3 linked regions of the Cricetulus griseus genome follow. The protein of the gene in region 3 interacts with the protein of the main gene of each other region in a pairwise test. Links are inferred from orthologs where the notes say so. Each region holds a gene or a part of one and is shown on either strand. Other genes may lie near its edges.

Region 1 (4,359 bases), on a different chromosome or scaffold from region 3:
TGTGGCTTCTGCAAGTGCAAAACATGCTCTTAATAAGAACCATCTATCTAGCCCCTCAAGTGTCTTTCATAAGCAACAGTGGACCTAAGGCCTGGGAGGGTATTTTCCTCCCCAGGTCATAAACCAGTCCCATCGAATGGCCTCTTCTGATAGAAAACACAACCCAGACTTAATTATTATGATGTGAACACAAAGATGGCTCAAGTTACTGAGTCTCTACAATGTTCCAGATTAGATACCAATGGCTGGTAGGCATCATCCCCTTCAAACCGCAGCACTCTAAACACAAGTCTCTCCCCACCCTCCCCTAGTCTTTGCTCAGCAGGCAGTCACACTAGGGCTCAGGTTCTAAAGCCAAGGTCATTCAACCCAGGTCACATCTAACACATTTATTTATTTATTTATTTATTTATTTATTTATTTATTTATGGCCACTCAAATACCCCTATACCCCTTATTTCTTCTTTTGATATGCTGCCCTTTATACCTTCCTGGTTCCTTCCCCTAACTCTACAAAACCCTCAAGTTCACTGAGTTGAACTCAACACTAAATTGAGACATGAGTTTGGACAGCAGTGAAATAACACTTAAAAACAGGGACAAAACAAGATCCTAGCACCCTCACCAGCCAGATCACAAATGCCTGTAATTTTGCTCTCAGGGATCCAATGTCTTCCTTCACAGGCACACACAAACACATACATGTATGTATACACTCACACAGATACATGCACACATATACATAAATAAAACAAAATATTTTCAAAAAGAGAGGGGATTCTGGAGAAATGATTCAGTGGTTAAGAGCACTTGCTGCTCTTCCAGAGGACCCAGGTTTTATTCCTGGAACTCACACGGAAACTCAGAATGTCTTTAACTCCAGTTCCAGGGGATCCTACACCCTCTTCTGGCCTCTGCAGGCACAAGGCACACAAGTGGTGTCTAGACATACATGAAGACAAAACAAACACATAAAATTGAAAAAAAATAAAGTGATACTGGAGTGAGCATCAGAGAACAACGTGTCATAGAAGTGGGAAAAGACTTTCAGGTCCCAGTATCCATGATCATTTATAAAAGACACTGTACCAAGAAGAAACAAAATGTCCCTAAAATGCCATGCAACCAACACAAGAAGCCTCAGTAAGTTCACAGGCCCCTCTAAAGTTTGAAAAGTAGGCTATAAATTCATATGCAAAGCAGAAAATAAGCAGATCTTCACTGCCCGGACTAGTCTGACCCACAAGGACAGTACAGATCCCTGTTCATACAAGATACTGACCCACTTCTAATGTTTAATTTTTAAACATTTTATGTGTGGGTGTTCTGTTTGCCTGTATGTCTGTGCACCATTTACATGCCATGTATATAAAAGGGGTCAGAAGAGGCAACCAATCCCCTGGAACTGAAATTACACCCAGTTGTGAGCCACAATGCAGCTACTGGGAATTGAACCTGGATCAACAGCCAGTGCTCTTAACTAGTGAGCCAGCACTCTGGCACTGAAACATAGTTTTAAAAGACATTAATCAGCATTTTTGACTGATCCCTTGGCATAAGTTCCTGCCTTGGGTGAAAAGCCAAATTGCTTGTTTATTATTATTACTTGCAATGCTGGAGATCAAATCTAGGATTTTGTGTGTGCTTAGCTAGCTCTACCACTGAACTATGCCCCAGTCTGCACGTAGCTTTTTCAATAAGGAAACTTCACAGCGGCTGCTTTGCTTGTGCTTTTCCATATGTGGCATGCTGCCCATCTCTGGCTCCTTATAGTATTGACAGGTGACCTGAGTGCTGTACTACCAGCAAGATTTCAGTCTTGCCAATTTAATATAGTGGGGGAACAAGAGTCAATGTCAGGAACACTGACTATCAACAAGGAAGGTTAAAAACTTGATAACTTGGAAAGTCCCACTACATCTTATCCCTAAACACCTCGTGTGACAAACGAGAACGATGTCAAGGAGAGTCCCGAGCGAAGTCACTATTGGAGTCCAAGTTTCCGGGTTCCAGAGCAGTGTTTATCAACAAGCAGCACGTCCGGCCTCCCTTCTTTCCTAGGAGGCTCTGCAGACATGCCATCCCACTGCCGAGACAGTCACCTTACCGGAGCGCCTCCCCCATTCCAGTCCCTCCTACAGCCTGGCTGAGTTGCAGCTCAAATTAGAAGTCGTGCAGCATGGGACATTTGCTGGGAAGTTGCCCAGCCTCAGAGCCATTGGTACCATTGAGTAGGGACGGGGATGGAAGAAAGAAGTGACATTCCACAAAGACTCTGGGAGAAAGGTGCCCTGAGAGCAGATGCGGCGAGATGCCTGGAGAAGACTGCTCGCAGTGACATCTCCCAATACGCAAGGGTAGGCAGTCCAGCATGGGCACTGCTTCTAGGGAGAGACTTGGAAAGGTTGGGCCTTGATGGGTAGGGATGCAGGGTGCCTCTCAGAATCCAAGTTGCACCTCAGGGGAGCCTCCTGGCAGGGTGAGGTAGCACCAGCGTCAGGCAAAGGCCTCGTGACAAGGATGCCCGGTCCACCTTTGAGATGACACCACTTATTGGCAGAGGCCCAACCCGCACGTGAAGTGGTATCTGTGCCGGGAGGAGGCCCCGGACCTCACCAGCCCGGCCAGCCGCTCTGTGGCTCACTCGACGCCTGCCCCACGCGCGGCCTTACCAAGACACTGCCCTACAGGGGTGCTGAACGGATTCCCCAGCAGGAACTCCATCTCTGCAGGCCTCGTTCCGGCCCGGATGCCTGTATGCCGCGGGTCTCCACTGCCCGCGCCGCGCTCGCCCTGACTGACACTTGCCCCCGCCCCACCCTCGGGAACGCCGAGCGCCTGCCTGACCTCGCCCTCTGGGTGCATCCCTATTGGGCAGCGTCTACTCAGCCAGCCTCCGATTGGACGGCACGCCACTCTCAGTGAAGTCCCACCCACCCCGCAGCGTCCGATTGGGCACCAAGCAAGCTAAGTCATTGGGGTCCCCGTCAGCCTAGTGGCACAACCCCCCTGGACCCGCCTCCAAACGAGCGGCCCTTCATTTTGATTCATTACCCTGTTAGTCAGTCTAGAGAATCCTTACTATGATTGGATAAAAGGCGTGTCAATTATCCGAGTAAAGAAAGAGTAACTAGAAGTTGCGGTGCATTGACGGTGCTGATTGGTGAGAGGTTTGTTTTCTTCAAGGCTGGTTGGTGTTAGAAGCGTTTCGCCGCCCAGAAATGCGGTCACGTGACACATCAACTTTCACCCAGGATATTTATTGCTGGACTTCCCCTTAGCGACCGAGTGGCGGTGCTTGGTTACCTAGCAACCAAGCGACGCGTCCACTTGAAGGAGGGTCCTTAGGAAGGTAAGAAGCATGAGGTTAAACTCCAGAAAGACTCCAAGAGCAGAGGTTGATTCAAATCTGTCTTGAAACTCTTCTGTAAGGACTCCCAACCTGACCCTTTCTCATTTGTAAAATGAGCGCACACGTCATTTTACACTTGTTCTGAGATTACCAGGCCTTTGGAGAAGAAAATTGAGTATAGATCCCAAAGCCCGCAAAAGCTAGTAGGAACAGGATCCATCTGCCAGTTTCCTGGACTGATTAGTTTCATAGAAAGAGAGGTACCCTTTCCTCTTGATCTGCAATAAGTTACTTCATTTGGTGCTGTATGAAGCGCTTGGGAAGGGAATACAGATACTAGGGTTCCGTATCAGTCTCTATCAGTAATTCACTGTACGACCTCCCAGCCCCACCCCCCACCCCAGGCTGGGAAGTAAGAGCACTAAGGCACCCTTTTTAATAGCTCATAGAGCTGACATGTAACACTTAGTTACATAGCAAATACAGTGGCAAATACAGTGTTTCAGGTCCAGTTGACCCAGGTTGTTGTTTCTCAGGAAAGCCTGGATTTTTTCCGCAGTGGAGAGGCTACCTGGTTGATTTGTAAGTAAAGCTTTCCACTTCTTCTCCACATCCTACCTCTGGTCTTCACCAAGGACACCATCAGGCAAGTCAACCAGCACCCACTTGTATAAATTATTGATATAATCCCCACAGGGGAGGATTCCTTGGGCCTTGGCCTGAGAAGAACAGTTGGAAACATGAGCTGTGATAATGGTTGTTCCTAGTATGCTGTTACAATAGAGTCATGATTAGAAAATTGAGTTCTACTATAGACAAGAGGTAAATCTTTGGTGAATCTACATATTGGTCAATCTAGAAAAGCTTGATGTTACAAAGATCCCTACTCTGTGTTGTTGATGTTTTACTCCTTGGCTCTTTTACTCTTTGCTCTTTTGGGGGGGCACCACCCAGCTCCCAAATAAATCACACACGGAGGCTTATTTTTACTTATAAATACCCAGCCC
Region 2 (3,604 bases), on a different chromosome or scaffold from region 3:
TGCCATGTTTTCTTACAAAAACTTGCCGTCCCTAAGAGGCAGTGAATGTGAGACTGTAAAGGAGAAAGGAACCACCACAGTACAGCTGCTGGCTTTCTCTTCCTGATTCTCTTGCCTCAGTGTTGGCACGGGGGAGAAAAAGAGTGAAAACCTTTGTGATTTTTAAAGTCTAAATGGAACATGAATGAGGATGGAAAAATGGTGATTCAGTGTGGGAAATATCAGGAGTATAATTCAGTGATAGAGCACTAGACTACCAGGACAGAGTCCCAAGTTCAATCCTAGCATCACACACAAAAATGTAATGAGTGTCAATATGCCACTGTGTTATTTGTTTGTAATATGCATTATCTCATTTACCCCTGAAAAATAAAATCAGCCCCTCCAAAGATAGAATTTTTGTGTTTTTTGTTTTGTTTTATGGGTTTTTTTGGGGGGGAAGGCTTCAGAATGTTAGGCAACTTATCTATTTTATTTCACATCATCTAGATTTGAGTTTAGGCCTGCTCACCTCTTTCTTATGCCACTCACCTCATTCTTCATTTGCTGGTTAGAAATGTAGCCACTGTACAATGAAATAGCCCTAGTAATTCTCAACAGTAACAGTACCTTCCCAAGGCTGTCTGTTGAGTCACCTCAACTCAGAGGAGCATCTCTGGCATTTGGGGGAGGAGCAGTGGCCACACAAAAGAACACTAGTCTATTCACCATGCCACTCCTATTGAGAAAAAAAGATCTAGAAAGACTATTCTCTTGTGGGTTCTCCAGACGGAATGAGGGCCCTATGGTGGTGAAACTACATTGAGAAGAGGGTGAAAGGGCACATTGTCTGCTCACCTCTCATATCCAAGGATGGCATTATTCAGATCCTCATTCACTTGAATTAGCTCAACAGTTACGTCTTCATTTTCCACTACCACCAGCAGGTCCATGATCCTCTCCTGCATCTCCCGACCAGTCTTGTAAAGTTTCTGTCAGAAAAAAGGAGGTTTCTTTTTCCATACTATGGATGCTCTTTATAAAAACAACTGACACTACATGCACCTGTGGTTGTCATGGGAATTCTGTCACCGATCTGCTTGTGAATTAAGAGGTGATGTTTGGTCCAAGAGGCTGGGTTCTCATTGGGAATGGACTTATCCTAGGTACGGGTGGCCCCACCCCTTTTTGGAGCAAGGAGCAAGTGGAGGCCAGTAGCTTGCAACTCTGTTCAGGTTCCCCATTTATTCTTTAATATTTGTGCACAGATCTTACACTTTAATAAATGATAAAAATAATTCTTTAACATGTGGTCACTTCCGTGCTGTCATCCAGCGACCATCAAGTTTTTCAAATGTGGACAGTTCATCCTGCCCGTCAGAGGGCAGTGAAAGGAGATGGATAATTTTTCTCTAAAACAACAATGTGGTACCCTGAAATGCTGTATGGAAATTCTAGAAGCCCAGCTTAATAACTGAGCTATTTGGGGGAAAAAAAAATCACTTGTTTTATAAATTTTAGTTTTCTCATTATAAATGAAAAATAACCACTTGTCACATTTACCTCCAGAGCGGGTGTGAAAATCAAATGAGATGCTGAGACCGGGAGCTTTGTAACTACAAAGCATAAACATGAAATGTTGTTGTCATTATTAGTGATGGTGGAAGTAGTTAAGAAGCATTTACAGCACGGGGGCATAATTTTACTTCCTGTTACATGTACTTAAGCCTTTAAAGTTTATGGCTACATCACATTCAATATAAACTGAACCAGGATTTAAAAACTCATCATGGATAATGACCTTATTTGGACTACTTAAAATCACTGCCTTGAGCTAAGACATTACCCCACAGCTAGCTTTTTCTCATAAGTATCAGAGCCATCAATAGAACACTTAACCGCCTCAGCAGCCCCAAGAATTAGTCTGGGGAATCTACATTTTTCTTAACAAGCACCGCCAAAGTGTTTCTTAAGTATCCTGACATTTGAAATCTGCTGCCTTGCAACTGACTTCCTTCTAGCAAAGCTCCAATAAACCCAAGGTGCATAGGCTGATATTAGCATCTTCTCCATCCATCTTGGCTGCATTCTCCCGTGCATTAGCACAGCAGCAGGCAAAGATGCAGGGCTATCTCTGCTCTCACAGCAAGAGCATGAGAACTTGCTTACACCTCACGTAATTACACAATCTGACTTCTCAAGAAAGTTGCTCCCCCCAAAAAATATGTATGCTTCATTAAACCGTTTAGAATCTCAAATAGTCTATTACAAGACTGCTGATAGGAAATCCAGATATAAATAAGTTACACTATTACTAACTGGCATTTAGACTCCTATGTAGCAGTTATCACCTCTGCAAAAACATACAAATTTTTTAAGATAAAATGAAATAAAAAGGAAAGGTGAGGGGCTGGAGGGAGGGGGTAACAGGTAGGTGGTAGATGAATTATTCCCACAATGTCAAGCCAGATAAATTGTCTTATTTGTTAATGATCTGATTGCTGTTCATGTGCAGTACAGGGGCTCAATTTGTTTTTAAAGCCCCAGATCTGAAATATTTTATGCTTTTAAGGCCATCTAGTGTGAGGCAACTTACTCAGCTCTGCACTGTAATATGAAAAGAAGCCAGGAAAGGAAGTCCCAAAGTAGGTGTGGCTGGTGGTAAGACAGGCAAAGAGATAAGACTTTGGACTCACTAGGCCAAAGGAAATGATGTGTTTGAAGACCTACAAAGCCTAGTATACAGCAGGGTGTCAATAAATACATTACCATTGCTTGAAGAGGGGTCACTAAGAGATTCCCTAGATAATGAATATGATCTGTAACACTTACACTATTGCTTAGGACCCAATATCACCAAAATAAGACTCCATAGCATCTAGTAGACCTCCCTCTCCCCCAATAATGAATGAGAGATATTCTTTTATTCTTTCTTCTGATGGTGCAGAAAATTTTCCTCTTGTTGCTCACAGGAAGCCTTGCTAGCATAAGGTCAAAAATCAAGCAATGCAATGGTGCTAGATGCCCAAGACAAAAAATGTAGACATTAATTGAAATGAATTTGCAGCCAGCATCAACAGCCCCAGTCATGTGAAGACCCTCCCTTTGCCCTTTGGAGAGACAGATGGAGAGGAAACATGAAAGGAACACCACATCTCAGCGGGCTTACAAAGCAGAATGTGAAAAAACTCTTCAAAAGCCAGCCCACTCTGATCTTTGCAATTGATGTCTGTCTCAGAGGACCGCCATGCCACCTGCAAACAGCATAGATCAAGCACTGAAGACAAAAAAAAAGTGTGTCTGGTGGGGGAGGGAGGGCGCAGAGTGCTGCACACAGACACTTGTGGAGCTCCGGATGCAGGATGCAGGGAGTGGAAAGAGAGCGACAGGAGTTAGTGGATGTGTCCATCACAGACCCGGGAATTGTCTCTCTATTGTAGACGGGCTTCTAAGCTACAGTGAAGTTTAACAATTCCAAAGACTCTGAAGCACAACAAAGAGGCTCATTAAGAGCTTTCTTTTACCCAACTGGCTCTTGTATTTCCACGGGACACTTAGGAATTACGAAAAGAGATCCCTTTTCAGGTTCAGCACCAACTACAGCCAGCCCACATTCACCAACAAG
Region 3 (4,342 bases):
TGTGAGTTCCAGGCCAGCTTGGTCTACAGATCGAGTTCCAGGACATGCTCTAAAGCTACAGAGAAACCCTGTCTCGGACCCCCCCACCCCCCCACCCCACCCCCCGCAAAAAAAAAAAAAAAAAAAAAACCACTACTGTAGGAAAGGAGCAGGTGTGCAGACTGGGTAGCAAAAGGGGTAATTTCAAAATACCAGTATTTTCAAAAGTGAGATGGCTATGAAAGATTGTAGTGCCCTATAGTGGCTATTAAACAAAACAAAACAAAACAAAACAAAAAAAACAAAACACAAAAAAAAAACGTAAAATACCAAATGTCCCAGGGAAAAACTTATTCCTTCACAATTATGTGGGTTCTGGCTCTCCTCCTCATACTTGCCCCATCCCAAACCCTCAACCAAGAATAGAGAACCCTCCTAGCCCAGATGAGAGTGTCCTCAGCCTTCTATAGCCTCCCAAGACACTGTCAGTCCTTCCCCACTCATCAGAGGTGAAGGTCAGCTATAGAGACAACTGCCCAAGCCTAGTCCAGGCTCCTGGGAAGGGGACTCTGAACCATAGCCTAACCCCCTGCTGCGGTTACAAAAAGAAGGCTGCCAATAGTACCCAGTACTGACCAAATGTGTACTTCTGTTTATCTTTACAGCTCCACAACCCTGAGTATGACATGAATAGTAGGGAAGAACTACCACACTCTTGACAGTTCTACTAGACCCTGACAACTGGCTAAAAAAACCTTTGCAAATATTAATGAATCCAGAGGCATATAGGTAGATCATTCTAGGTGAAGCAGCCAGTGAAAAGCTGAAAACTGTAAAAGGCATGCACTCTAAGAAACAGCACTTACCAGATCAAGTTCAAGATCTTCTAGTCTTTAAGAGACCCTGGCCATAACCCATTCACTCCTCCCACACCAAGTCCATACCTTTCTGTTTTCAATGATTAAGAGCACAGACCTGATGGTGACTGTTATTTTCTGGCTTTATATGGGTCACCATGCATAGCTGTGTCCCTGTGCTCCACACTTTTGACTCAGTGTCCAATTGCTCTAAATACTGTGGCCAATAATACATCCCAAGCAAAGTCTAAGATATCTGTCACTGATGACAATTTCTTAGAGTCCAGACACAATATTACAAGTCATCAAGAGTGCTCCTAAAAAACCATTCAGCTGTCTATGTTTATTTATAAGACTCTGTGGTCCCTAGAACACTGGGCAAGTAGAAAGATCAAGCGTCAGGACTTGACTCCACAGATTGCGCTAGTATGAATGTCACCCGACACTCCCAATTACTCATCACAGCGTGGGTTACCCCAGCTCTATACACACAGCACCAGAGTTTCCCTCAGCAACACGGGAGGACACCTTCTTACTCAATTAATGACGGACATTAAGCTCACCATCAGATGAATTCAAATGCAGTCCAGCCACAGAAGTAAAGGCACTCTCAGACACACAGTAAGGAACGGTCCACTCTGCCTGGCCCTGTGTCCACTTGGCAGGAGATAGGAAAAGAGCAAAGTACTGGCTCCCTTCCTCTTCTGTCAGCCACTAGCAATCTTCTGTAGTTTGGTGAGACACAGTGAGGATGAAGAAGGGTTGCTGAACATGAAGGTAACCCCAACTCTGGTCAGGAAGTCTGGCTTTAAAGCCCTCCAAAAAAGCACCCTGCCTGGGGCTTTCTTCAAAGTCAGAAAATCAGTCATCTACCCCAATGATTTATCTGTTACACACACACACACACACACACACACACACACACACACACACACACACCTGTCAACACCAAGCTGTCAGGGTGAGGGACCTGGGAAACCAAAGGCTTTGCAGACACTTTCAATAACTTCAGGGAAAAGACAATGGAGCCATCAGAACTGTGTTCTACACACATAACCACTGTTAGCTAACAACATCCAACTCATATCAGTCTCAGAGAACTACTGGGAGGACATCCACACTAGAGGTAGGAGAGACAGGTAGTGTTGTGGACCCCAAGACAACCCTTAGGAGCCATCACTGTTGGTTTTCCACGTTTTCTGCTCCCTTCTCCTCATTTATAGATGAACAACTGAGACTTGGAAAGGTAGCCACTAACCGGGCTCAAGAGGTAGCAACCCTGTTCTCTATAGGAGCAGGGAGAGGAAGAAACTGACACAACTAAGAGCTGATTACAAAGTGGGATCTTTCACCATCTCTGAAACATCAGAGGAGTGTCAGGCCCCACTCCTCTGAGAGATCATGGGAGCCAAGACTATCAGTTTGGGAAATTAACAGGGTCAGGACCACTCTCCATTTGGGGAACCAAGCGTCAGGGCCCATGTCCATCTGAGAGACCAAGGGGTTGGTATACATCTGGGGAAGTAAGGGGTTCGGGACCCTTTTTCCACCCGGGGAACTAAGGGGAGTCGGGGTCCCTCTCAGTATGGGGAACCAATGGGGTCACGTTCCTCTGTGTGGAGGACTAAGGGATTCAGGGCCCCTCTAGGGATTCAGGGGTTTCAGGGCCCGTGGGCATCCAAAGAACCATCAAGCTCTGCCTTCTTCCACCCGCGAGACCCTCAGGACCAGAGTCGCTACTCCGTTTGGGTACCCGAAGGTGGGACCCGCACAGCTCCGGGACGGCCGAGCAACTCGCGAGGGGCCCCACGAGGGGCTGACAAGAGGAGCCCGATCTCAGGCTGCGTTGCCCCAGTCCGGCCCTCGCCCAGTGGACTCACCGGCCCGCGCTGCGTGCTGACGGTGGTCGCCATGATGTTACGGCGACCCTGTGCCTCACCGACCGCACAGAGACCCGCCGGGAGAGTTCTTCCGCCCCCACCTCAACCTGCGTCGCCGACCGTTGTCCCGCGAGGCAATCTGCGCCTCAGTCAGCTGACAGTCACCCCGCCCCGCCCCACCCCGGCATTCCCAAGGCGCAGCCGCTTCGCAATGGCTAATCCCGCCCCTTCCGGCTAATCCGCGCATGCGTGCAAAGGGCTGGGGTGAGGGCGGGTTAAGTCTCCCGTGTACGCCTGCGCGGTGGTCACTCCTGTAGTACGGTAAGCCCTTAAAATGGCTGCCAGGCTGTCTGCGCATGCCTAAACCTGAGTGTTTCTCGGCGTGAGCCAGTCTGTTGACCCAGGACCAGGCACCCGAAACATGGATGTTTATCTCAACTCCGTCAAGTCGTCACAACGTCCAGTCACCTGGCTGGAGATAGCTAGGAGACCACCACCTGCAAGGTGCCTGATCCGCTTGAAGAAAGGAGAAAACTGATGTTTGGCAGCTTGAGGAGAAAGCAGATGGCAGTAAAACCAGTTACCCTCAAGCCCTTGAATTACTTCAAAATGCTGTGGGAGGAAGAACATTTATATTTAAATGTTAAAAAAAGAAGCCAAGCTGAAGGAGAGGCAAGAGTGGGCTGGAACACTTCCACCAGCCTTGAATTTGCCAAATGAATGGAAGAGATGTCCCTAGGAAACCCAGGCCACCCACTCTTGCCTCTTCAGAGCGCTCTCTTCAGAAGGACCTTTGGCCAGATAGACTCAATGTAGTTCCTTTAAGTTTATCCTGTGGTGGCCCCAGATCTGCAGATCTCTTTCGCTTGTGCTGCAGTAGACTTGGTACTGCCCAGCACCAAATGTACTCCTAGTACATTTCTTCACTCACACTGTGTTCTATTGTGTTCCCTTCATCTCTAAGACCTCATCTTCTACCTCCATTACCAGTCTCTGCCTTGATAGCACATGGGACTGCATCTGGGCTCTGTCCCTGGATGCAGCTGTCTATCCAGTTCTCACTGGTCTGCAGCTGATGAAGCTAAGGCAGACCAGGACATAAGACTCGACACCCAATATGGCAGACAATTTATAAGAGACCCATGATCCCTTCCTGGGGTTCACATCCCTATACAATCCTTTCCCCTTGGTTATAGACAAAACCTCTGAATTGTGTCTAAAAATGCACCGGGCATCCTGCAAGTTGTGTAAGATTGTATCTGGACAGCAGACTAGGAACTTCTTGTGACTAAGACCTGCTAAAAATGATTGGGTTTGAGATGTTCACACATATGCCCTTTAATGGATTCCCAAATCCCTCAATATTAAAGAGGTAAACAAACAAACAAAACAAGCAACAAAACCAGGGAGAATTGTTACTGAGGAAAAACTTTATCACATAAAATTCCCCAGTAAGTCCCCAAAGTCTGTTCAAGTGGCATAGTCTGTCAAAGCAGAATCACAGCATTTGCTCTCTGGTGGTGGTCACATGGTACATAACCTTGTTTCTACTAGATTTGCTGTAGATAGCAGAAGTTCTGGTGTATGTGGGCTGTGATAGAATTTGACTAGGTTACTTTGCAGAAA

The links.
Region 1: the proteins of Tollip (region 3) and Tom1l2 interact in binary tests that used the Homo sapiens proteins (3 or more experiments, as listed by UniProt). The link is inferred for Cricetulus griseus from reciprocal best matches to the Homo sapiens genes TOLLIP and TOM1L2.
Region 2: the proteins of Tollip (region 3) and Tom1l1 interact in binary tests that used the Homo sapiens proteins (3 or more experiments, as listed by UniProt). The link is inferred for Cricetulus griseus from reciprocal best matches to the Homo sapiens genes TOLLIP and TOM1L1.

The regions. Positions count from the first base shown.
Region 1 is NC_048600.1:74,480,320-74,484,678, forward strand, and holds the start of Tom1l2 (TOM1-like protein 2), read right to left. Parts: upstream 2,818-4,359; 5' UTR 2,725-2,817; coding exon 2,673-2,724; intron 1-2,672. UniProt on the Homo sapiens protein: Acts as a MYO6/Myosin VI adapter protein that targets myosin VI to endocytic structures. May also play a role in recruiting clathrin to endosomes. May regulate growth factor-induced mitogenic signaling.
Region 2 is NC_048600.1:103,766,724-103,770,327, forward strand, and holds part of Tom1l1 (TOM1-like protein 1), read right to left. Parts: intron 972-3,604; coding exon 838-971; intron 1-837. UniProt on the Homo sapiens protein: Probable adapter protein involved in signaling pathways. Interacts with the SH2 and SH3 domains of various signaling proteins when it is phosphorylated. May promote FYN activation, possibly by disrupting intramolecular SH3-dependent interactions.
Region 3 is NC_048596.1:59,283,317-59,287,658, reverse strand, and holds the start of Tollip (toll-interacting protein), read right to left. Parts: upstream 2,877-4,342; 5' UTR 2,750-2,876; coding exon 2,717-2,749; intron 1-2,716. UniProt on the Homo sapiens protein: Component of the signaling pathway of IL-1 and Toll-like receptors. Inhibits cell activation by microbial products. Recruits IRAK1 to the IL-1 receptor complex. Inhibits IRAK1 phosphorylation and kinase activity.